Nothobranchius furzeri: one gene and its partner. The protein of the gene in region 1 purifies or fractionates together with the protein of each later gene. This does not show direct contact. Links are inferred from orthologs where the notes say so. Each region holds a gene or a part of one and is shown on either strand. Other genes may lie near its edges. The genes, in order: hip1rb and picalmb.

Evidence for each region.
Region 2: the proteins of hip1rb (region 1) and picalmb fractionate together in Homo sapiens (co-fractionation; 3 studies listed by BioGRID and IntAct, with this or other methods). This does not show direct contact. The link is inferred for Nothobranchius furzeri from reciprocal best matches to the Homo sapiens genes HIP1R and PICALM.

Annotation. Positions count from the first base shown.
Region 1 is NC_091757.1:46,639,032-46,650,131, reverse strand, and holds part of hip1rb (huntingtin interacting protein 1 related b), read left to right. Parts: coding exon 1-55; intron 56-921; coding exon 922-997; intron 998-1,191; coding exon 1,192-1,353; intron 1,354-1,431; coding exon 1,432-1,487; intron 1,488-1,562; coding exon 1,563-1,635; intron 1,636-1,919; coding exon 1,920-2,103; intron 2,104-2,189; coding exon 2,190-2,278; intron 2,279-2,361; coding exon 2,362-2,478; intron 2,479-2,552; coding exon 2,553-2,654; intron 2,655-2,807; coding exon 2,808-3,002; intron 3,003-4,345; coding exon 4,346-4,493; intron 4,494-4,639; coding exon 4,640-4,726; intron 4,727-4,830; coding exon 4,831-4,938; intron 4,939-5,112; coding exon 5,113-5,249; intron 5,250-5,864; coding exon 5,865-5,975; intron 5,976-6,080; coding exon 6,081-6,139; intron 6,140-6,239; coding exon 6,240-6,270; intron 6,271-6,373; coding exon 6,374-6,436; intron 6,437-6,550; coding exon 6,551-6,651; intron 6,652-6,753; coding exon 6,754-6,859; intron 6,860-10,470; and 6 more. UniProt on the Homo sapiens protein: Component of clathrin-coated pits and vesicles, that may link the endocytic machinery to the actin cytoskeleton. Binds 3-phosphoinositides (via ENTH domain).
Region 2 is NC_091753.1:49,931,652-49,942,307, reverse strand, and holds the end of picalmb (phosphatidylinositol binding clathrin assembly protein b), read left to right. Parts: intron 1-1,314; coding exon 1,315-1,398; intron 1,399-2,860; coding exon 2,861-2,953; intron 2,954-3,102; coding exon 3,103-3,213; intron 3,214-4,270; coding exon 4,271-4,387; intron 4,388-4,504; coding exon 4,505-4,535; coding exon of another isoform or gene 4,536-4,539; intron 4,540-4,605; coding exon 4,606-4,705; intron 4,706-6,562; coding exon 6,563-6,622; intron 6,623-7,531; coding exon 7,532-7,636; intron 7,637-7,967; coding exon 7,968-8,060; 3' UTR 8,061-8,073; intron 8,074-9,018; coding exon of another isoform or gene 9,019-9,033; 3' UTR 9,034-9,240; downstream 9,241-10,656. UniProt on the Homo sapiens protein: Cytoplasmic adapter protein that plays a critical role in clathrin-mediated endocytosis which is important in processes such as internalization of cell receptors, synaptic transmission or removal of apoptotic cells.

The DNA of each region.
Region 1 (11,100 bases):
TCCCTGCTGATACCCTACAAGGTCATCGCGATCGTTTCCGCGAGCAGTTCAACAGGTAAGCCACTCCTTTAGAATCATTACATCAAAGTTTTAATTTAAGCCAAAAATATGCAATCCTGGATGATCCTCTACCCAGTAACCACGGCACCAATCACACGCCCCACCTTCTGTCATGGTGTTACAGTCGCATACTTTTTCTGTTGTGCCTTTTGGGTTCAGTGAAAGTCCTTCGAGGGTAATTTGTCCCACACTGAACAGCTGTGATTGTGACATTTTTTATATAGTTTGCTTTAACCTACCTCATTTATGAACAGCGGTGCCTCAAAGGGGTGGCCAAATATGCCCCCCCCCCCCCCCCCCGCAAAATCTTTGGCCAACCCCCTTAATAAATCACAATCATCTTTAATCAAATAAATGTTAAAGGGAAAAAAATACACTTATTTAATTTAATTTTGTTTAATCAATCACAATTTAGATATATAAAAATGTCACTGATGCTCACCATTTTCAAAAAAGAAGTCCCAATATCTTTTATGGATTTTTTTTTTTTTTTGAGACAATTAAAGTAAACTTATAAAATTTAAAACTTTGGAGAAAAAATTCATGGAAATAACTGTATGAAGTGTCGTCCATTTCCCCCCTAAGTGTTTACGGTAAATGTGTTGGATGTAATTGTTTTTTTTTAAATGAAAAATAATGAAAGAGCAACACTGCACAGCTACAAGCCAACTCTACCAGAGTTGCCAAGGGGACCAACTTGGTGTGCCTTCCTAAAAATGTCACTGGCCCCCCTATGAAAATGTTTTTGGTGCACCACTGATTATGAAAGATTATACCTAAATGATGCATATCAGCGACAGAAGCCTGTGTATTTTGTGCATTAACATGAGGTGACTAATGGATGTTTTCCTTTATTCACAGTCTTAAGAACTTCTTTAACAGAACCAGAGAGATGGTGTTCTTTAAGAGACTGATCCAGATTCCCAGGCTGCCTGATGTAAGTGCTGCTGAGTCAGGTCCTCATTCTTTTCACCTGATGCAGCTACTTTATTTCTTGCAAGCGTATTATTTATAAAGTCACCTATTTTTTGCTGAGTTTTAATTAAACCGTGTTTGTGAGTAAAAAGTAATGTTCAGCTTTATTTTCCACCAGCTCTGAATGGTACTAATACCTTGTCCTTCTGCCATCAGTCTCCGCCTAACTTCCTGCACGCAGCCTCCCTGGCCAAACACGTCAAGCCGGTGGTGGTCATCCCTGATGATGACGAACCAGAACAAGATGAAGATGATGAACCAGAGCCGCTCGTTGAAGTCAGTCACACCTCAGCATCTAATGTTCAGACACAGCCACAGGTATGGGAACCCAGTCACAGATGTTTTCAACAGTTTTTTTTTCTTTAACCTTTTTTCTAATCTATTTTTCTTATTCAGCAAATGGACATATTCGATCAGACATTTGGACCTCCAAATGGCGGCTTTGATGAAAGGTGAGCCACATTTGTTTTCTTTCCCTCTGCATGGTTTGGCTTTTGAGTGTTGATGGTGGGTTTGCTGTCCAACAGGGATCTGCAGATCGAGTGCCTGAAGACGGAGCTTGAAATGTTGAGAGCGGACCTGGAGAGGATGAAATCAGAGGTAAGATTTGCTGAGTAGCCTGGTGCTTGAGAGTCAGCCTTCTTTTCCCTTGTTTGTGTGACAATAAAAGGCACAGTGATCTATGTGCACAGGAATCTGGGTCATGCTGCTTCTGAGCATGTAGAATGTACCAAGTAATCTCTAAAAGGAGTTACACAAGTCCTCTTGAGAAGTTTAGTTTGAATTGAAATGATTTAAATTTCATGACTATGTTTCTGCTACATAATAAAAAATTCCCACTTTAAGTCTTTACTGCGTCTAAATTGCATTTTGTGTTGCAAAAGGCTCAACGCTATGTCACGCAGCTCAAATCCCAAATCAACAGTTTGGAGGCCGAATTGGATGAGCAGCGCGTGCAGAAACAGCGTGCTCTTGTGGAAAACGAGCAGCTGCGCATGGAGCTGGACACAACGCACCTTCGAATTGCAGAACACGAGAGCTTACAGATCACCTTCATCGAGGCGGAGAGTAAGTTGTGCCTTGAAATCCCATTTTGACCAGAAATTGCTGTGATCACAAGCATGATTACACGTTTGTTATCTTCGTTTGTTCAGAAAAGGCTCAGGCCACCGAGCAGCGTTACAACAAGCTGAAAGAGAAGCACACCGAACTGGTGGCCAGCCACGCTGAGCTGCTCCGCAGGGTATAGGCTCCAGACCAGTTAAGGTGTATCTGCTTTCAATTACACGTCAGCACCTGGCCTGAAATGTGTTAATGTGCTAACAGAGTGCAGACACTGTGAAGATGCTGTCGGTAACCCAGCAGACCCAGGAGGAAGTGGAGAGGACCAAACACCAGCTGTCCTTTGAGGTGGAACGGATCAAACAGGAGTCAGAGATGAAGGTTGGTTTGGGTTTTTAGGGACTTTATGGATGTAGATGATGGAATTTTTTTAAAACTAAGTAATGTTTCTATAGTTAGAAGAGCAGAGGTTTGAGGTGGAGCGAGTGAGAAGAGAGCTGCAGGAGAAGATGGCAGAAGTGATGCATATCAAAGCAAATCTGCAAAGCAGTGAAAAGGTGAGCGTGCATCTGGGGTTGCTTCATTGATTTAGTAATCAGAGGTTTCATCGTCCCTGCTCAAGGCGAGAGCCGTTTCCGGATGGACATCTCCGTCTCAGCCATCTGCCCTTTCTGGCAACTCTCATTGCTCTTTTTCTTTTACTTTGACAGACGTCGGAGCAAATGAGCAGCTCAATGACAGCTCTGCAAGCGGAGAAGGAGCGTCTGATGCGATCTGTGAGTGAGAAGGAGGCGGAGCTGTCGTCTCTGCGGCAGGCGTCGCAGCTGCAGCAGTCGTCACTTCAGCAGGAGCGAGAGAGGAGCAGCAGGGAGCTGGGAGAGCTGCAGGGCAAGCTGAAGGAGAAGGTCAGTCAGGACGGTGGAGCCTGAACACTCTGCAGTGCAGACATTTGTCTTCTCGCAGCAGCATTTTTGATTGCTTTATTAAAAGCACATTGAATCATAAATTTTGGTTTTGAACAAGTTGTTTTTATGTTTAGATGTTTATTTTACGCAAAGATAAGTTAATTTTCCGACTAAGGATGAACAAAGGGATGCTTGATGGGTTTTTTAAAATACTAGTTCATTCAGCCATCTTATTCTGCCATGATAAAAGCTCTAAAGAGCTCTTCAGATCACAAAAACAGGCCTGTGAATGAAGTCTTTAACAGAAGGGTCAATAGCTGGAAAGGGGCCATATAGAAGTTGTCCACATGTAGCATCCATAACTGGCAACCGCTTAACTCATTCACTGCCATTGACAACTAAAGTCGTCATTTTAAACCCAACCGTTCACTGCCAATGACGATTAAAGTCGTCATATGCATTTTTTTTACTGTGTGGGCATCGGAACGAGCCCCCACACTGTGAGAAAAAACATCTTAGCTCTTCTTTAAAAAACTGTAAAAACAGTGAGGAACGCTGGCATCAAATGAGTTAAAAAGGATGAAGGAGACGGGCTGTAAAGCAGGATGTGGGTGAATTTGTATATCTGGACTTTTGTTGTTACAGCACAAGCTTAGAAATGAATCATAAACATATGAGTGACATCTTTTCATCTAACACGATCATGGGATGTTGCCGTATTAGACGGACTTTTACTTTGTATTTCAGACTGAAGAATTTCAAGTCCAATGCTTTTTTTCCTATGGGGTTTGAGCCGGTTAGGAAATGTCAGTGAAAATCTTCTGTTCCGTGTTATTCCCAAAACAGTCGTGTCCAAAACATCAGCTGACATTGTTCACTTTTTGTTTGTCAAACATTACCTGTTACAATAAAGTTGGAAATATGCAGAATTACTGTTGTGACAGTCCAGAGAAGAGTTACAGATTTTTTTTACTGTTCTGAACATATTATTTGTAATAATTAGAAAATTCTTGAAAAAATATTTGAAAGGCCTGCCAGCCTGCACAGTTAAACGTTTTTTGCAATTTTTTTCCTAACAAGGTTGCCACGGTAACTCGAAACACTTTGAAAAGCTATGTTTGGATGAGCACCCCAAAACCATATTGAGTCACCCCAAAATAGTTATTATTATACTCATTATCATTATTAATAGTAATAATCTAAAATGCTTTTAATGTGAGGATTGTGTATTCGTAGCTGGGTGGGTATCATTAAATGCTTGGATACATGCATATGCAGTCTAGCGTTGGAACAATTATGTAATCATGCCTGTTTATGTGTTCTGTTTTGTTTGTTTTAAACAGACGAGCCAAGAAGAGCAGATGAAGAAGAAGCTTCTGGAAGAGCAGTTTGCTTTGCTGCAGGGAGCCATAGCAGAAGCTGAAAACATCATCCAGGATGCTGCTGCCAAGCTGGATGATCCTCTCCACATACGCTGCACCAGCTCTCCGGGTCAGACCACCTCTGATGTTTCAAACTGAAATAAACCCATTACCAACAGATGAAATTAAAAAGAGAACACAAACTGATCTTTATTTCACATGGCTATGTGTTTGATTTAACTTTTTAATGTAACGCTCTGGCTCTCGTTCAAACAGATTACCTCATAAACCGGGCAGAGGCCACGCTGAGCTCCATCGACAAAGTGAAAAAGGGCCATGCAGATTATCTGCATAACATGTTTGGTGAGTTTCTCTAATTTCTAATTTAACTTGACCTCGAAACACTGTGTTCTAAATTCATCTGGTTTTCTAAAGATGCTTCTTTCTTCCTTTCTTCTTGTAACCAGATGCTGGAGGACTGCTGAGAGCTCTGACCCAGTTCTCTCACTTGGCTGCGGACACAATCGTTAACGGCAGCGCTACCGCACACATGGCACCCACTGATCACGCAGATAGTAAGAAGAATATCAATTTCCCTTTTATTACTTGTGCATTCTCCACGGCATTTATTAACAGAGAAAACAAATATTAGTTTACTAATAACACTCTCAGATCCATAGAAACAATTTTGGATACAAGGTTGTTTCTGAACAGAAAATGCAGAAGTGTGAGCATTTGATGCCCTACAGGACTGACGGAAAATTGCAGAAGCTGTGCCACACAGAGTCTTGATTACCTGAAGGATTTGAAGTCCAAGGACACCCTCCAGAAGGCAGATCCAGCTTCTGTTCGCATAATCGTACAGAAGATCCTGCATTTGGGTCAGGTGAGAGAAATCTGAACAGACCTGCAGGTTTTTGTGGTGCAGTGTGACATTTGAGTCTAATTTATAGAAGTTTGGTGGCAGAATGCATCACTGCTAAATGTTTCAGTCCGAGGAATCCTCAGGAATCTGCTGCAAAAAAGACCAACTGTGCGTTATATTTAACTCACCTTTTGAGAGTTTCTGCAACTTCTGGTTTGCTTTAAAAACACACTCCAGCAATCCAGCTGCTGTCCAGACAAAGAAACCCATCCATATCCCCATAAATCCACTCATCCATTATAATCATAAAAAAAATGAAGTGAAATAAAGGGAGAAAAGGAAAATGTAAAGAATGAAAACTATAAAACAGTATAAGTCTGTGCAAAGTTATGCATTTTAAAGGTTCTATGGGGGAAAATGAGCTTCAAAAATTGTGCAAAGATGCAAAAAATAGTGCAGGGTTGTGATAGAAACAATACAGCAAGAGCCACAATATTTGCTCCAATCAGCTGTTTAGGAGTCTGATAGCAGATGGCGCAGTTTACACATCTCACACTTCTTACCTCTGGCATTAACTGTGTATTTTAGGTAAACTAATCAAACAATGAAATGGAAAAATCAATTTGATTTCTCTAGGAGCTGCGGCCTAAAGGAATGGACATCCGTCAGGAGGAGCTGGGCGATCTAGTCGATAAGGAAATGGCAGCAACATCAGCAGCTATTGAAGAGGCAGTTCGTAGAATTGACGTGAGCACTCGATGACCTGACACTATACGACCCGTCTGATTAAATGGCCCATGTTTAGTGTATTATTTGTAGATAACTGAAATTTATTATGGTTTGAATCTTTAGGAAATGATGAATCAGGCACGAAAGGATACATCCGGAGTTAAACTGGAGGTCAATGAAAGGTTTGTGCTTTTTAAATTAATTCAAATATTGAGTCAAATATTCCAGATTTTTATAAATATTTAAATCCAAACCCCGTTGCTTCTTGCTCTTTTATTTCAGGATTCTTTTTAGCTGCACAGATCTGATGAAGGTAAAAAAAAACAGCCCCCCCCCCCCCCCTTGCAAACAATGTGGCATCTTTCAATGTGGGTGTTTTTCCTCACTCTGTTTTCTCATCATCGGCTCTCCTTCAGGCTATTCGCATGCTCATCATCGCATCCACGGACCTGCAGAAGGAGATTGTCGAGGGCGGGAGGGTGAGTCAGCGTGTTTCTAATTTTAAATCCAAAGTTAAGCATCAGTTTCTGAATAGGATGTTTGGTTCCTTTTAAAGGAGTTCATCTAACTGTGCTGATGTTTTGCTCTTTAAGGGTGCAGCCAGCATTAAGGAGTTTTACGCTCGAAACTCTCGTTGGACCGAGGGACTCATCTCTGCTGCCAAGGCTGTGGGATGGGGAGCCTCAGAGTTGGTGTAAGTTCCCGTTTGAAAATTTGCATGGCTGTTTATTGTTGCTGCTGCATTCACAGTTGACGGGAAGCATGCAGAGATTAATGTTTTCCTGCTTTCTTGCAGAGACTCTGCTGATAAGGTGGTGCTGCACATGGGTAAATATGAGGAGTTGATCGTCTGCTCTCATGAAATCGCTGCAAGCACGGCTCAGCTGGTGGCTGCCTCAAAGGTAACATGTGAATTATACCTGACAAAAAAAAGTGGTGTACAATCATGAAATGTGATGGATAACACTGTAGTTTATTAAATTGATAGAAAAATTCAAATATTTTTAAGGTGGAATTAATCCACTGTTTTAATGTTTTATCACTTGATTTAGCTACACATCAATTGATTAGAATAATTTAGCATTTTTTAGGGTCAGTTTCAGAAATCAGATAAAATTTGAATCCGAGATGAAGAAGCAACCAAAACCGATTTTATTCTCAGCTGATTGTTGCCTTGGTTCTTTCAGAGGGGATGGTTTGATCATAGTTCATGTTACTTTGACATAAACCTTCCATGCTTTAGTACGAACTTGAATATAAAATTTGTCAAACCAAGGTGAATCTTTTTTCTGTTAAAGTAACAGAACGGTTTCCTGCTTTTCTGCCCTACTGGTTGAAAGTGGAACTACAACTATTGTAAAACACCCTGCAGCAGCCTGCTGTAGCTAGTGCTAACAATGAGCTAACACTAACATTAGCCAACTAATACTAAAATAAACCACGATGTTAGAAGATCCACTTTGTTGGACAAAAAATATTATTCCTTACAAGTCCAGTAGCAACAAAGCTAGGTCACCATCAGTCCGTGATTTCATGGTCTCCTTCAGTTCCTTCAAACAAGTGTAGGCCACGCTGATGTTCACTCTGGTTTTAGCTCTTTGCTTCACCTCCTAAAGCCTGAGTCATGCTTCTGCGTCTGCATCAGTGCGGAGACACGCAACACCATTATCCGTCCTTGCGGGGCTTCTGGAGGATCCCCGAAAGGACGGACTGAGTCGAGCCCTCTTTTCTAAACATCCGTCCGTCGAGATGGAGAACGCAAGCTTGTGATTGGTCAGGGCACCGCTGTCATCTACACCGCCGCCATTGCGCCCTCAAAAACATAGAGAGCCGAGGATAACCAGCGGCAGACACGGAGAAGCTTGAGGAATTCCTCGCGAAAAAATTCTAAAAATACGAATGTTTGATTCCCCCGTGACTGGAGGAGTGAAAAGACGCGCAGCGAGCGTTTTATTTGTGGACAGAAATGACAGGAAACGTGGGTTTAGAGGTGGCGAGCGCATGAAGAGGTGGAGGAGAATGAGACAAATTTGTCTGTGTTAAAAAGTCTCTTATATACAAAAAACACAATATAAACACACTATCTTTGACCGGATACATGACAGTATACCCAGGGACGAAATTTTGATTTCAGAAGTGGGGGGGACACAGCAGGCTTGTGCGGATTTGGGGTGGGGGTGTTATGTAAAGACCCTTTGACACGTCACATGCCCATCTCAATAATTTTTCCATCCTCAATATATATATATATATATATATATCAAAGTTAAAAAATGTACAACTCTATTATCATTAATATTTATTATCATTATTGAAGTGCAGTTTTGGCTGTTGACAATGGATAGGCCATTGTATTTATTGTTTTGGGTCTTTTTTTATTGTTTTTGGTGCAACATTTTCTAACAGGGAGTGAGATTCTTTTTTTTATTTAATTTTTGTTTGTTATTTTTATTCATTTAGAAGTTCTGGTTCTGGACATTTCAATGTTAAATGAAGGTTTATTTGTTGCATTTTAAAGGGTGTACTTGCATTATTATGATATATTAACATTATATTAGTGGTTATTTTGGTCTAGATAATGTTGACAATGATATCGTTTATCATCAACAATTTGTTGGACAAAATATCATCCAGCAAAATGTGTTACTTTCCCAGGCCTAGTCAAAAGTATAAAAAGTATTTATACATAAACGGTCCCTCCTGAGATCTGGCCGTTTGTTCATTTGCTGTGTTAGAGGACATGCTGAACTAATGTTTTACACATGATCATCACCCTAACATTTGTCACAATGATCAATTTTATGTCTATCGTATCTTCATTATTTCAACCTCACCTGTGAGCCTCCAGCCTCTGCTCCATCTCCTCCAGGCTCTCGTCCTCCATCTCCTACAGCCTCTCCTGCTGTACCTTCACCGGTCTCTCCTCCTGCATCTCTGTCAGTCACCTGAAAAAAAGATGCATGAACTATAAACAGTGGGAGATTTTGGAATGGAACAAACAGAAATATTTACAGGATGGTTCTAGTATGATTCACAATTATTATTAATATAATGTGTAAATTATTCATTACCAATTTGAGTGTATAAAAACATATTAAATATGTTTTTTCCCTTAAAAGTGTTTAAACAGTTGTTGCATTTCAACACACAAAAAATAAATGGAAAAAATAAGATAAATCTAATGAAAAGAGTACATCTTTGACATTAAGCTTAAAAAAATCTGTTGACGATGATACTGTTCATTTTTCAGAGCTTTTTAATGTGAACATATACATTGCAATAGATAAGTTTACAATAAAGTTAAATGATAAAAGTTTTGAAGTTACACTTCTACTACTACTAGTAATAATAATCATGATAATAGTAATAATAATAATAAATAATAATAATTATAATAATACGAATAAATTGTGTCTGAGGAGTCAGTTATGTGGAGGAGATGAGTTTGTAAAAGTTAGTTTTGAGTATGTTTGTGAAGGAGGAGGTGAGTCTGAGCTTAATGCAGCGGTGTCACATGTTCCAACTTACGTTTTGACTTTGAAAGAAGTCTCTTATATCCACTTTTCGTTTGTTGACATGCTGCCTCCTGGCTGTGCCTAACTACCAAAGACTCACAAATGAACACTTATTCAAATGTTATGTAATGGAAGCTGAGCTGAGCTCTGATATTACACAGCGTCTAGTTGACGATGTGACTCAGTACCGGTGTTCCCTAGCGGCTCCAAACTAGCAAAACAACGTGAGCACGTTCTGACTGTTTACAACTTGAGTGACAGCAGCATCAGCCAATAATACGTTAGCAAGTATCAGCAGAGCCAATAGATTAGCTTTCGGTCCTAGTGCTCAATCAAATCCATTTAATGGAGCGTAATATTGTTTTTGGACGGAAAAAAGTGAAGGGGACCGAAACTGCCTTTTGAAAAAGTGGGGGGGACATGTCCCACCCGTCCCCCCCCAAAATTACGTCCCAGAGTATACCACAGAACAGTGCTACGCCCTCTGCTGTCCTGGCGGGGAATTGCTTTGCAACACTCCCCAGGAGACGGAGAAGTATGAGGACAAAATATCTCCGTCCGTGCGTGTGTGTCTCTCCCTTTTGGAGCTGACGGAGAAGCATGACTCAGGCTTAAGACATTAGTCTCTTACATTCACTTCCAGGCTCCGCCATTATGCCAACAGAAAAAGCAAAGTAGCTTATCTATTTTTTTTGTGCTTTTTATTGTCAATCGGCAAACTGAAATTGCTAACCATTCGCATTACAACCAACAGCCATAAAGCGGTTAAAGAACGCCCCCTGAGACACCTACCCACTCCACAGAACTATTAAGTGTGGGTTTTGGTCAGCAGAGGGCTGCAGAGTGGTGTCAAGAATATGAAACTGGTCAAGTTTCTAACTCAACAATCACTGAGATCAGTGTTAAAGCTCTAGCTTAAAGTTAAAAAATATATTACATTAACGTAAACCCAAAGCTTTTGACTAAACCGGCTTTAACCACTGCCCTTTTGCTCTCAGGTCAAAGCGGATCGCAATAGCACAAAGCTGACCGTTCTCCAGCAGGCCTCTCGCCTTGTCAACGAGATGGCAGCTAATGTGGTGGCTTCCACAAAGACGGGCCAGGAGAACCTGGATGACAAAGGTGAGTAGATTTATATTTGTGTTACAAGATGATCACAAACTCTGAAAAACCTCTAACCTGTCTGTTGATAACCTTTTTATAAATGAACAGAAACCATGGATTTCTCTGGGATGTCTCTAATTAAGTTGAAAAAAGAAGAGATGGAGTCACAAGTAAGTCAACGGATTCCGCAGTGATGAAAATCTTCTCACATTTAAATTTTGATTGTTATAGAACCAAAATAAATCCAACACATTTTCATTCAGTCGATGAGCTTTTTGTTTCCAAACCTTTCAGGTGAAGGTGCTAGAACTGGAAACTCAACTGGAGAACGAGCGCCTCCGTTTGGGTGAGCTGAGGAAGAAGCATTATGATTTGGCTGGAGTTCCTTCAGTGCAGGTTTCTGAGGGGAACGAGGAAACCTCCTCGCTATTCCGTTCTGCAACCATGTCACCCAAGCCTATCAAACCTGCTCCCATGAGGAAACCTCCACTGGCTCAAAAACCCGGCATCCCACCAAAGCGGTA
Region 2 (10,656 bases), on another chromosome or scaffold:
ATCGGCAAATGGGAATTGCCTCATATGAAATCCAAACATCCCGACTAGGGTTGTCACGGTGTGAAAATTTAACCTCATGGTTATTGTGACCAAAATGATCATGGTTTTCGGTATTATCGCAGTATTTTTTTAAACGTTACATTTTCAAAATAAACCCTGTAAATCAGGAAAATATTGTCCTCAGTTAGTGTCTAAATTTTGCCTAAAATTTGTTATTTTGTAATTATGTTTATTTGTTTACATTTTTCCCCTTTAGTCTTTAAAATACCAATATTTGCCCATAACTTATTTTTTGTCTGTTGTCAACATTTTAAAAATATTAGATCAGATGATACTCTGTACTCAAGTAGCCTTCTAGTCAGATACTTTTTTTTTACCCATACTGGAGTACTAAACCCTATATCAGGAAAATATCGTCCTCGGTTTGTGTCCTTCCAGTGAGCTTTGCAGATGTGGGGAAATGTCATCAGGCAGTAATCATTGTTAAATTCATAATTATTCTCGGAGAGACCAACTCTTATCTGCCCCTGGGAGCCCCGTAATGCATAGCGTCATTTCAACATGGCGGTGTCCGTGACACGGTTTATATGCAGGTAGCGGCGCTGCGGCTGCTTTATATAGCGACTCGTTGCATTCTCCCTCAACCCAAATCCTCGGATCAAGCATTTTAGCTAAAACGCTAATGTTAGCTTGCCTTGCGTTGACTGTAGAGTTGTGGGTGATGGTCACGCAGATGTGTCATGAGATTTGAAGCGTTGCTGCCTTTCACAGACACTTTTTCTGCACGTGCTGCAAACAGGATAGCCGTCTTCTATCAGCTGTCCCTCGACATTCTTCAAATATCTAAAAGATGCCCGTACTTCCCACTTTGTCTTCTTTGAGGGATAATAAATGTCCTCCTGAGCGCTGCCGTCTCCTCCTTTGACCATTATTTCATCTTTAGCTTCAAGAAAGTTTTGGTTGTAAACAAAGTGCACATGTGCCTTTGGCAACTTCAGCAGATGATACGGTGGCTGGTAAGGGTCACCGCGACTACACCACAGCCACGGTAATCCACCGAGATAATATAGTTTTTTAAAAACAAGATGGTTATTATTATTGTCAACTTTTTTACCAGGGTTTACCGCTACACCGGTTACCATGACAACCCTAATCCCGACTCATCTTTTGTATGAATTGGAGCGATCCATATCTTGCTGATTGAGTTTGCATCTACCGCTCTTCTTTTATTATTAAACAGTTTGGTGTTGCTTTGTAAAGATACCATAGAGCTTTAAGTTTGTGTCTGTTGTAACACTATTTTTGATTCTCCAGATTGTTACAATCCCTTTTTTGACTCAAACTCATCAGTTTCAGCCAATTACAAACGCACAGTGCGGATAGAATCGTCCGTCTCAGGTACTTTGTTGGATCACCACCTCAGCCTGTCTTTCCTAAAAACATCAAACCTACCATGATCCCCAATGCCATTATTTTTAAGTTTTATTGTAGAGTAAAAGTATTATAAAGGAAGAGTTTTGCACTTTTGGGAATAAAACAACCAATTTTCTCTGTAGAATACGGTTAAGTACTCGCATACCTCGTTTTCTGCTTCATTTGATCCACTTTGATTCTTTTATTTGAAAATGACTGGAGCCAAAATAAGGTTTTATTTGGGTAAAGCAAGAAAAAGGGTGATTTTTACAATATGCACTTCAAATGCTTTTGTAATAGGGATGTCCCGTCTGAAATAGGTCCAATATCGGCCAAAAAACACTCCGATTTTATCGGAATGCATCAAAAATCTCCGATATGAGTTGTCTATTCCGCTTTAAATGTAATTCTAGCAATTCTAACCAGCAGATGCAGCATGCAAAGCCTGCATGATCAGAACCGTGCACGCTAGCAAAGTAGCAAGGAACAAGAACGATGTTGGCCATATGGCAGTATTTCGGTATCGGAAGTGAAAAAGTTGTTTTGGGACATTCCTACTTTGTAATCCTGGGTAGTTTTGTTGGATGTTTGAAAACGGGATGCTCGATCCTCTTGAGTAAAAATACTAGAAATGCACAAATGTGTGATGAATTAGAGGACGTGTTGGGTCGTGTTTTCCCCCAAAAGTTTCAGAATTTAGAAAATGTCGGTTTTAGATCTTTTGTTTATGTAGATTTTAGAGCTGGGCAATACATCGAAAATGTATCGTTATCGGACTTATCGTGATGATTTTTCCCATTTCAATAAATTTGATAAAAAAATGAAAAGGTGTGTGTAGGTTGGCAATATTCATGTCCCTTTAAGAAGCTGTACCACCTCGAGTCACGTAAAATGTGACAGCCCCATCTAGTGGACAACTTTTGTTTCTGCACACACCTTTAGTTACCGTCAATTTATCGTTATCGAGGTGAAATCCTCAATATATCGTGATATTGATTTTCGGCCACATCGCCCAGCCCTAGTAGATTTGTTTCAATGCAGTTTATTTATACTTTTACATTTAAAGTGACACAAAATGTCTTGATGTATGTGAAGCCGTATTCACACCTCGTATAAAAAGAGCTAAAGACATGAAGTCCTAAGTCGTATCTAATGATCAGAAATAATCACTAAAAACAGAAATTCCCAAAATGTAAAACTGCACCTTTAACCCTTTCCCCCTTGGTCCATTATTATTATTATTATTATTATGATTATTATTATTATTATTATCATCATCGTTTGGTGTTTTGCTGTTCTGGTCATTTACCTAATCCCTAAACTAGACGGAGGTGTGGACCTGTTAGCATCTTCCTGTCTGCTGTCGTTTCTCACCTGTCTCTCTGACTTGACCTTGAAGCACCTTCTTCCTTTGTTTCCTCTTCTTTGTCTTCCTGCTTCGTGTCAGACTCCTTCTGTGGTCCAGTGTCGGTTGCTCAGCACCTCCCACACCAGGCCCCCTTCCCCGCTGAGCCCTCTGCTGTAGCAGGTCTGTTCAGAGGTAGTGTATAGAAGGCTCTTCGGCTCCCGCAGCAGCAGATAAACGCTCGTTTCAGCAACCCTGCTTCTCTGCTGTCTTGTGATTTTTATGTTTGGGAATCCAGTCCGAATGTAACTTTGTAACCGGAGCTTCTTGGTTTCATCCTGAAGGATACTCAACGCCACAGGCTCCTCCACAGCACTCAGCAGGAGGACTTCAAGTGGACTTTGAGTCTGTTTTTGGAAACAAAGCCGCCGGCAGCAGTAGCCTCAACTCTGATGGTGAGGATTCAAACACCCGAGGTTCTGTTTCTCTCCATCGGGTTTGAGCTGCAGCCGTAAGACTGTGAAGTGGAGGTTTTCTGATTGTTTAATAGTCTCAATAGAATAATCGCACAGCAAAGATAAAATTCCAGTTTTAACTTGGAATCGCTCAGATTGGTAGGTTTACAGGCGTTAGTCAGACGTTTTTATATCTGCTGTCTCACAAGAGACATAATTGGTCATTTTTATACTGTACTGTTGCAGCAATGCAAGTTTTTGTATTATTATTTTTTTTTTTTGCAGTTTAGTCACTTAATGTTTAACCTCAAGAGAACCAGCGCCCACAAACGCAGAAGCTTTATTTTTGCTTCATATAATCTCGCGTTCAGATTACCTTTGAGCTGTTTTCACCCAGCTTGTCCTGGGTTGATGCAGGAGACTCCTGCTGGCAGGACGAGCATGAGACACCTCCCCTGGGTGAGGTGCTCAGGCATCCAGGAGTAGATCTCCTGCTCCTGTTGAACTGGAGGAGCAGCTCTACCCTTCAATCCCTACCGGATGTCTGAGCTCCTCACCCTTTAAAGACTAAACCAGACGCCGTGCTCCGTAAACTCATTTTGGCTGCTTGGATTAGCGATCTCGTTCGTTTGGTCTTTACCCAAAGCTCACGACCGTAGATGAGGATTGGAGTTTCCGGATTAGCTTCCTCTTCAGTACAACCGCTGCTCCAGTCCACCTTTTGATCTCCTGCTTCCTCCCTCATTCCCAGAGATACGAAAGCCCTCCACGTAAGGGCCTCTCCCTCTCGAGTCCCCAGAATCAGGTGATTTAATCACCTGCTCACGTTCTGCAGAAGCCTGTTGATGACTTAACCGTTTAAATCGGCCACGTCGGGGCAGGGAACGAGAAGTCTGCCTTTGCTGCTCGTTTTCAGTTTTAAGACGAGTTGTTTTCTAAAGAGCAAACTATCGATTTACAAGAACTTAAAACACAAATATCCAATTATTTCTGACAGATTAAAGGCTCGCTACTTTAGATCGGAGTCTAATTGTTCTGATTTTAATTATTTTGTCAGATCTTGCTGGAGGCATCCTGAAACCGACTCTAGCTGGCTCCAACCAGCTGTCCAATCAGCAGCCTGAGAAGCTGGTGTCGGATGACCTCGACTCCTCTCTGGCCAACCTTGTTGGCAGTGAGTGTTTGTTTTATTATTATTATCTGAACTAATTAACACACACACACACTTACGTTAAGGCTAAAACACTTGTCAAGCTGACACCCTCTTGATGAATGTTTTTCTTCTGTTTAGACCTCGGCATCGGGAACGGCACCATGAAGAAGTAAGTGATGCTTCCTGGTGTGTTTGTGTCTCTCTGAGCCGCCGCTAACGCCAGCTGTGTTGATCCACAGTGACATCCACTGGAGCCAGCCGGGGGAGAAGAGGATGACTGGCGGCACCAACTGGCAGCCCAAGGCGGCGCCGACCACAACCTGGAACCCCGTCTCCATGGTGACTCTTACACACGCACGCACACACACACACACACACACACACACACACCACTGTTGTGCTCATCCTCTCAGCTGCTGCAGTTCTCCTGTTGTTCTCTGGTTTCAGTAATTCTGCATCAGAACCTCCGATCATCTCCTAAACATCTTACCGAGATTAATTTAGTATTAATTTATAAACCCTTGGGTTCGAGAAAACGTTTGAAGCTATTAAAATAGGAAATTTGGAAAAGAAATTAGGACAAGAAAAACTAAATTATTTACTTTGAAAAGAAATTAATAAATGGCAGAATTGAGAGTGTAAACAGTTTTAGGTTTGTGTAATATAATTAAAATAATATTAACAAGTAGGGCTGCACGATATTGGGAAAACCTGCGATATTCGATAACAGTGCTTAATATTGCGATATCGATATTACTCACGATAAATGAACAAATACTAAAGTATGCAGTGTTGATGTCGTCTGGCGTGTGACGTCTGCTCTGGGTTCAAAGCAAACAAAAACTAATGCATGAATTCCATTACAACATAACATTTTTATTGCAAAAATATGCAGCTGCACCTGCTACTGTATTAGCAGCAAAACAACAAACTGCATGCATGCAGTTTCTCAGTGAATTTAAAACATCACCTCCACCATAAAACCTTTTCTGATGCTCCAAATACAGAAAAACATCCCTTACCAGGGTTTTTGAATAAATAAAAAAAAAATCTGTAAATAAGTTTAAATGTTAAATAATAGTTAACATCACTTAGATGCAACAGCAAATTCTCTCATTGCTACTGAGCATTTTCTCCACTTATGTGGTTATGATATAAGGCTGTTGCTGTAATTGGGAAGTGAACTGTGCCGGGCCAAACTAGGAGAATATTAAGATTTTTTGAGGGAAAGAGAAAAACAATTGTCTACCTTTCAGAAGATTAACTGGCAAAAAACTACATGGAAAATATGTGAAAACGTTTGTCTTTAACCCCAAACTGAACAAGTTTACCTAGATCTTAGAAAGCAGCTCAGATGATGAAACTGCTACTATGATTCTGATAACAAGCTAACAAATTGAACTAGCTCCTCTAAAGATAACCGGCTAGCAGAGCTTCTGACTGACAGTTTATGTGCAGCAGCAAATCAACTATCCTGATTAACAAGGTTATAAAAGCTCATAAAGGAAAAATCACTTTGATGTGTGGGGGAACTTTTCCAGGCCCTCTTTAGCAGCTCAGGGTGGGACTGGGAGGAGAGTGCTGTAGCCTTTTAGCTGGAAGCTAACCGGAGTCTGGGGCTAACGGTGGGTTGGTTCACCGGCACGTGTCGGAGTCAGCCCGGTTATTATCAGCTGCTTAACGACACCGAGCGGACTCACGTTCACGTTTGAAAGCAGCGCTGATTCCAGAAACCTCAGCACAAAGTGCGTTCGTTTATCTGAGCCTGCATGACGAACGAGCTGCAGCGGAAAGCGGGGGTGGAGCGGAGATGGTGGAATTTTTGGGTAAGGGTCTACGTAGGGGGCGGGCGTATTACGTGAATGGACCCATCTGATTGGCCGCATATCAGAAGGACTACATTTGATTGGTCAAATAATACTTCTGTGTAAAAAACAGAGCTGGTTTACAAAAAGCTGATGTATGACAGGGATGGAAATGTTGAACCAAACATTTATCGCCGTTTTTGACGCGCTTTGCGATGGGCCTATCGCACGTCCCGTTATCGCCATGACGATAATTTTTCGATATATTGTGCAGCCCTATTAACAAGGAAGTTGGTCTTACAGCATTTAGATTTTCATATTATAGCAATTTATCAAATGTACAGTGATCCAACTTATAGCTTTTTCTATAAAACACGTTTTTATATTTCAGCCTCCATCAATCATGGCCTTTCCTGCCACCACACCTACAGGCATGATGGGATACAGCATGGTGAGTGTGAGTGTGGATGTGTTTGCACCCGTCAGGCGGACGCCTGTGAACACGGGGTATCCACTGGGTCTTAAAGTATTAGAAGTTGCCAAGTAGATTTAGGGAAAGTTGCGACTCTTTTAAAGTCTTATTAATGTAGTCGAGTCTTAAATTAGGTTGTTGCTGTGGATTTAAATGTGTTTGTGTCATACTCGCAAACTTTCAGTGAAAATCAGTTTTTGATGTTTATGTGGGTCGAAGAGGTTTTGTTTTGGGGGGGGGGGGGGGGGCCTTTATAAGAATGGGTTTTCAGAGAGAGGAGGGGCGTTCATCTTGTTCACAAACCATCTTTGTTGTAACAGGTTACGAGTCGTCTTTTGACCAATCGTAGTCATGGAGACGGCATGTGGAATGTCCTTAAGATGCAGCCGTAGCACGGCGCTAACAGCGCTTCAACATCTCGCAGCGGTTGGAGCGTGAAGTTAGTCAAAAACCAAACTGCTGTTTTCTGTCGGGGACTTTAGTGGGTTTCAGCCTTTACAGACGCTTGCTGTGGCTCGTCATGTGATTTTAATATAATCCGATTAAAGTTGCGTAACCTGACCAGGTTAAGTAACAGCAGGATCGTAGGATTTGTTTGAGCACACTGATGGTTCATAAACGATTTGGTGCTTTACCACCTAGTGGTCACTTAGCGTTACTCTCAGGGGGCACTGGGGGGGAGAACTACCACTTAATGAAACCCAAACCAAATTCTAGCCGTTTAATGGTTGAATAAAGACCGATTGGAGCCATTTATAAAATAAAAATATAGATTGGGGATTTTCAAAGGTAGAAATCATAAATGGAGCCAGAGTTTCTGTTTTGTAAACAGGAAGTCTTTAAATCAGATGCTGATGAGTGATGTGATGTGTGTGAAACACCCTGCAGCCTCCACAGATGGGCTCCATGGGGATGATGAATCCACCCACCATGATGTACTCCCAGCCCGCCATGAGGCCACCCAACCCCTTCGGCTCCGTGTCGAGTGCTCAGGTGGGTGCAGGCTGCAGCCGGGTGGCTTTTCCAGTAAAACGGTGTCTCCATTGTCCCGTGTGGTGTGCCCATAGCTAGTCGGTGTGCGCTCTGTCGTCGGTGTGAACACAGACGAAGATGATGACAGTTTTAACAACCAACCCTTCACTCTCTGGAGCTGAAAGCGACAAAACTGGATCATCATCTCTTGTTTTGTCTTTCCGAACGGCTCCTTTTTTTAATAATTAACTCATCTATCATACATCACAGCTTTTCCGAGCTAATCTCATCCCTCCTTCAGTCTCTGATCTGACTCTGACTTGTCCTCTGGTCCTCCCACTTCCTGTATTAGCCCTCTGCAGCCTCTAGTCCTTCCAGCCAGAGTCCTCTCCGAGCCCCTGGACAGGACCCGTTTGCACACCTCTCTCTCAAGGATTTCTTGTAGAGCATCTCTTTAGGTACATCATGCTCTTTGCTTGCAGATGCACCTGCATGTTACTTGTCCTGTGCAGATGTTGTTTTTAATATTTGTGTTTTCATCAGGTCAGATAGCTGCTTTAACCCGCCTTTTGTTGTCGTCTCTGCTGCTTGAACATCACGCTTGTTTTTGAGTGAAACCCATTCTCATTCACCATTCTTCCTCCTTTGTGACTCATTGCTGTTTGTCTGTTCGCCGAGCTTTGTTCCATCGGAGTTAATATTTAATCATAACTTCCAAATAATCGCTGCCAGTCTATTAAACTATTTATTCATAAAAACAAAATTCATTTCCCAAGTTTGCGACCAACTGCTCCAACATCCAGATAATCCCTGCAAGCTCTGAAGCACACGCTGGTTTTCATTTAAATCTAAATTATATTTGATTTTATTGAAAATCAATTTTTTATTGCAAACTTGATCTGAAAACTTAAAGCTCTTAAGAAAACTAATAACAAGTAAATGTGCAAATGTCTCTGAATGCCGAGAATTCGGCCACGAACGACACTTTGGTGTTTTGTCTAAATTCAACCTCGATTTGTTCGGTTCCTTTCAAGAAAATCAGATTTTTATCTCAGAAACATTTGATTCTATAGTTGAAGATGCTGACAATAAAAGTTCAAAATACTTTTTTTTTGTGAAATATTATAAAGTCGTATCTAAAGACGAGGAACGGCCCAAAAATGTAGTCCGGAAAATGATCAAATGTAATAAAATCTCTAGTAATAAAACGGTTTTATTTCACGAACATGTTTTTTTTTTTATTCTGCTGCTTCCATGTTTGCTCATAAAAGAGAATTTTTACCACCAGACCACCTCTGCACACCGTTTGTGTGAACACGCGTCCCGTTTCAGCCGTTAAAAGCAGAACAAACGTTTTGAATCGCCTCTTTCTGACATCGTTTGTTGCTTCTTTTCTCTTTCAGATGCAGTTCATGTAATTTGAATGAAGTGTCTCAGAAGATGAAGCACTTAGCAGCAAAACGTTGTCCCCGTTGCAGTCTAACTCTTCAGAGAAGCATCCACACACACACACACACACACCCTCAAATACAAGACACGCCAACAACACAATGGTGCACAGACTGTCCAAAACCATGGTAACCATGTCCAAATGACGTATTGGCGATAGCTCACACCCTTTTCTCTGTAATCGAAGCGAAGAGCGACGATGCTTCTGAACCCCTCCGCCCCTTCGGAAGGACCTCTGATCCGTTTTACGGTGTACTCTGTAACGATCGTTTGGGTGCTGAGAAATTTCAGTGTTGTGTATTTGAAGAAGCTGCGGTCTGATGTAAAAGGCTTCAGCGGGGAAGGAGGTGGAAGTAAAAGAAACAAACACCAAGAAGAGCGGTTCTTCTCTTTCTTGATCCGATCATGAGTCATCCAGAACCCTTGGGTTATTTAACGGTCACGGAGTAGTGATGCTAATGACGTTTACACCCCTTTAGTTTCTGTCTTTTTTACCGTGTTTACAGTAGACATTCCTAGTGTGTTTGTATTTATTTATGTTTATTGGTTAAGGTTTGTGTGTGTGTGGGGGGGGGGGGGGGATAATAATGTAAAATCTACCGTACGTTGAACACATGTGGGAGTGCTTCAGCATTAAAACAAGGATCCCAGACTATCATTAAGAGGTAGAGTTGAAAATAGATATATAAAAATTACACCTTATTAAGCGGAATGATAGAGCACTAAATATTCAGTTTTGTGTTTAAGAGAAGTTTTTACTAGATGAAAGGTTCCACCTTCTCCATCGTACTCGCAGTGCCGGGGTTAGAGTACGAGTTAACCGTATAAATAGTGTGCCTATAGAGTTTAACTTTGCGATGGATCTGAAAATCACTTCATCCACGAACCGGAAGCGACGCACTGGGTGGTGGGCTCCATTTGCTTTAAGCTTGGCATGCCATTGACTCACTGACTGTAATCAAGGCTGCCTTTACTCTGAATGTGAAAGAGTTGTCTTCATGTTGCACACATCTTTCCACGCTGCAGTTCCTCAGCCAGAGGAGTGAGGGTGTGAGGAGGCGGGCCGGTGGGGCGGTGCTTGCTGGTTAGTTTTGAGGCGGCAGGAAGACGTGATTGGGTGTAAATTAATGTATAAATAAAAGATGCAGAGGAGCGGGGCCCGAGCGGAGCCGCACTGTTGATCGGTGCGATTGTGTATATAAACACTGACTGTTCTTTGAGCGCAAAAGGTGAAAGATGTATGAAATATGAAAGCAATTCAATCAAATTTGACTCTACCTAAGTTTGATTCAGGATCTTCTCTGCGTTTGTCTCAGCAGATATTTTCTGTATGTAATTAGATAGTGTAGCAGACAACGACTGAAGTCTTTCTTTCTTTTTCAAATAAAGAGCAGCTTCCACAAACACTCGTTTGTTTTCTTCAAGCATTGTAATTTATATGTGGTTAATGTGTAAGATGGCAGCTCCAGGGGAAAATGCACTTCAGCTAAAGTGGGAAAGAAGTGTTGGAAAACAGCAGATTCCCTCGATCCTGTGCTCCCTCTGTAAAGGGGATGTGAGGATTTATGGCAACAAAAAAGGGTCAAATGTCC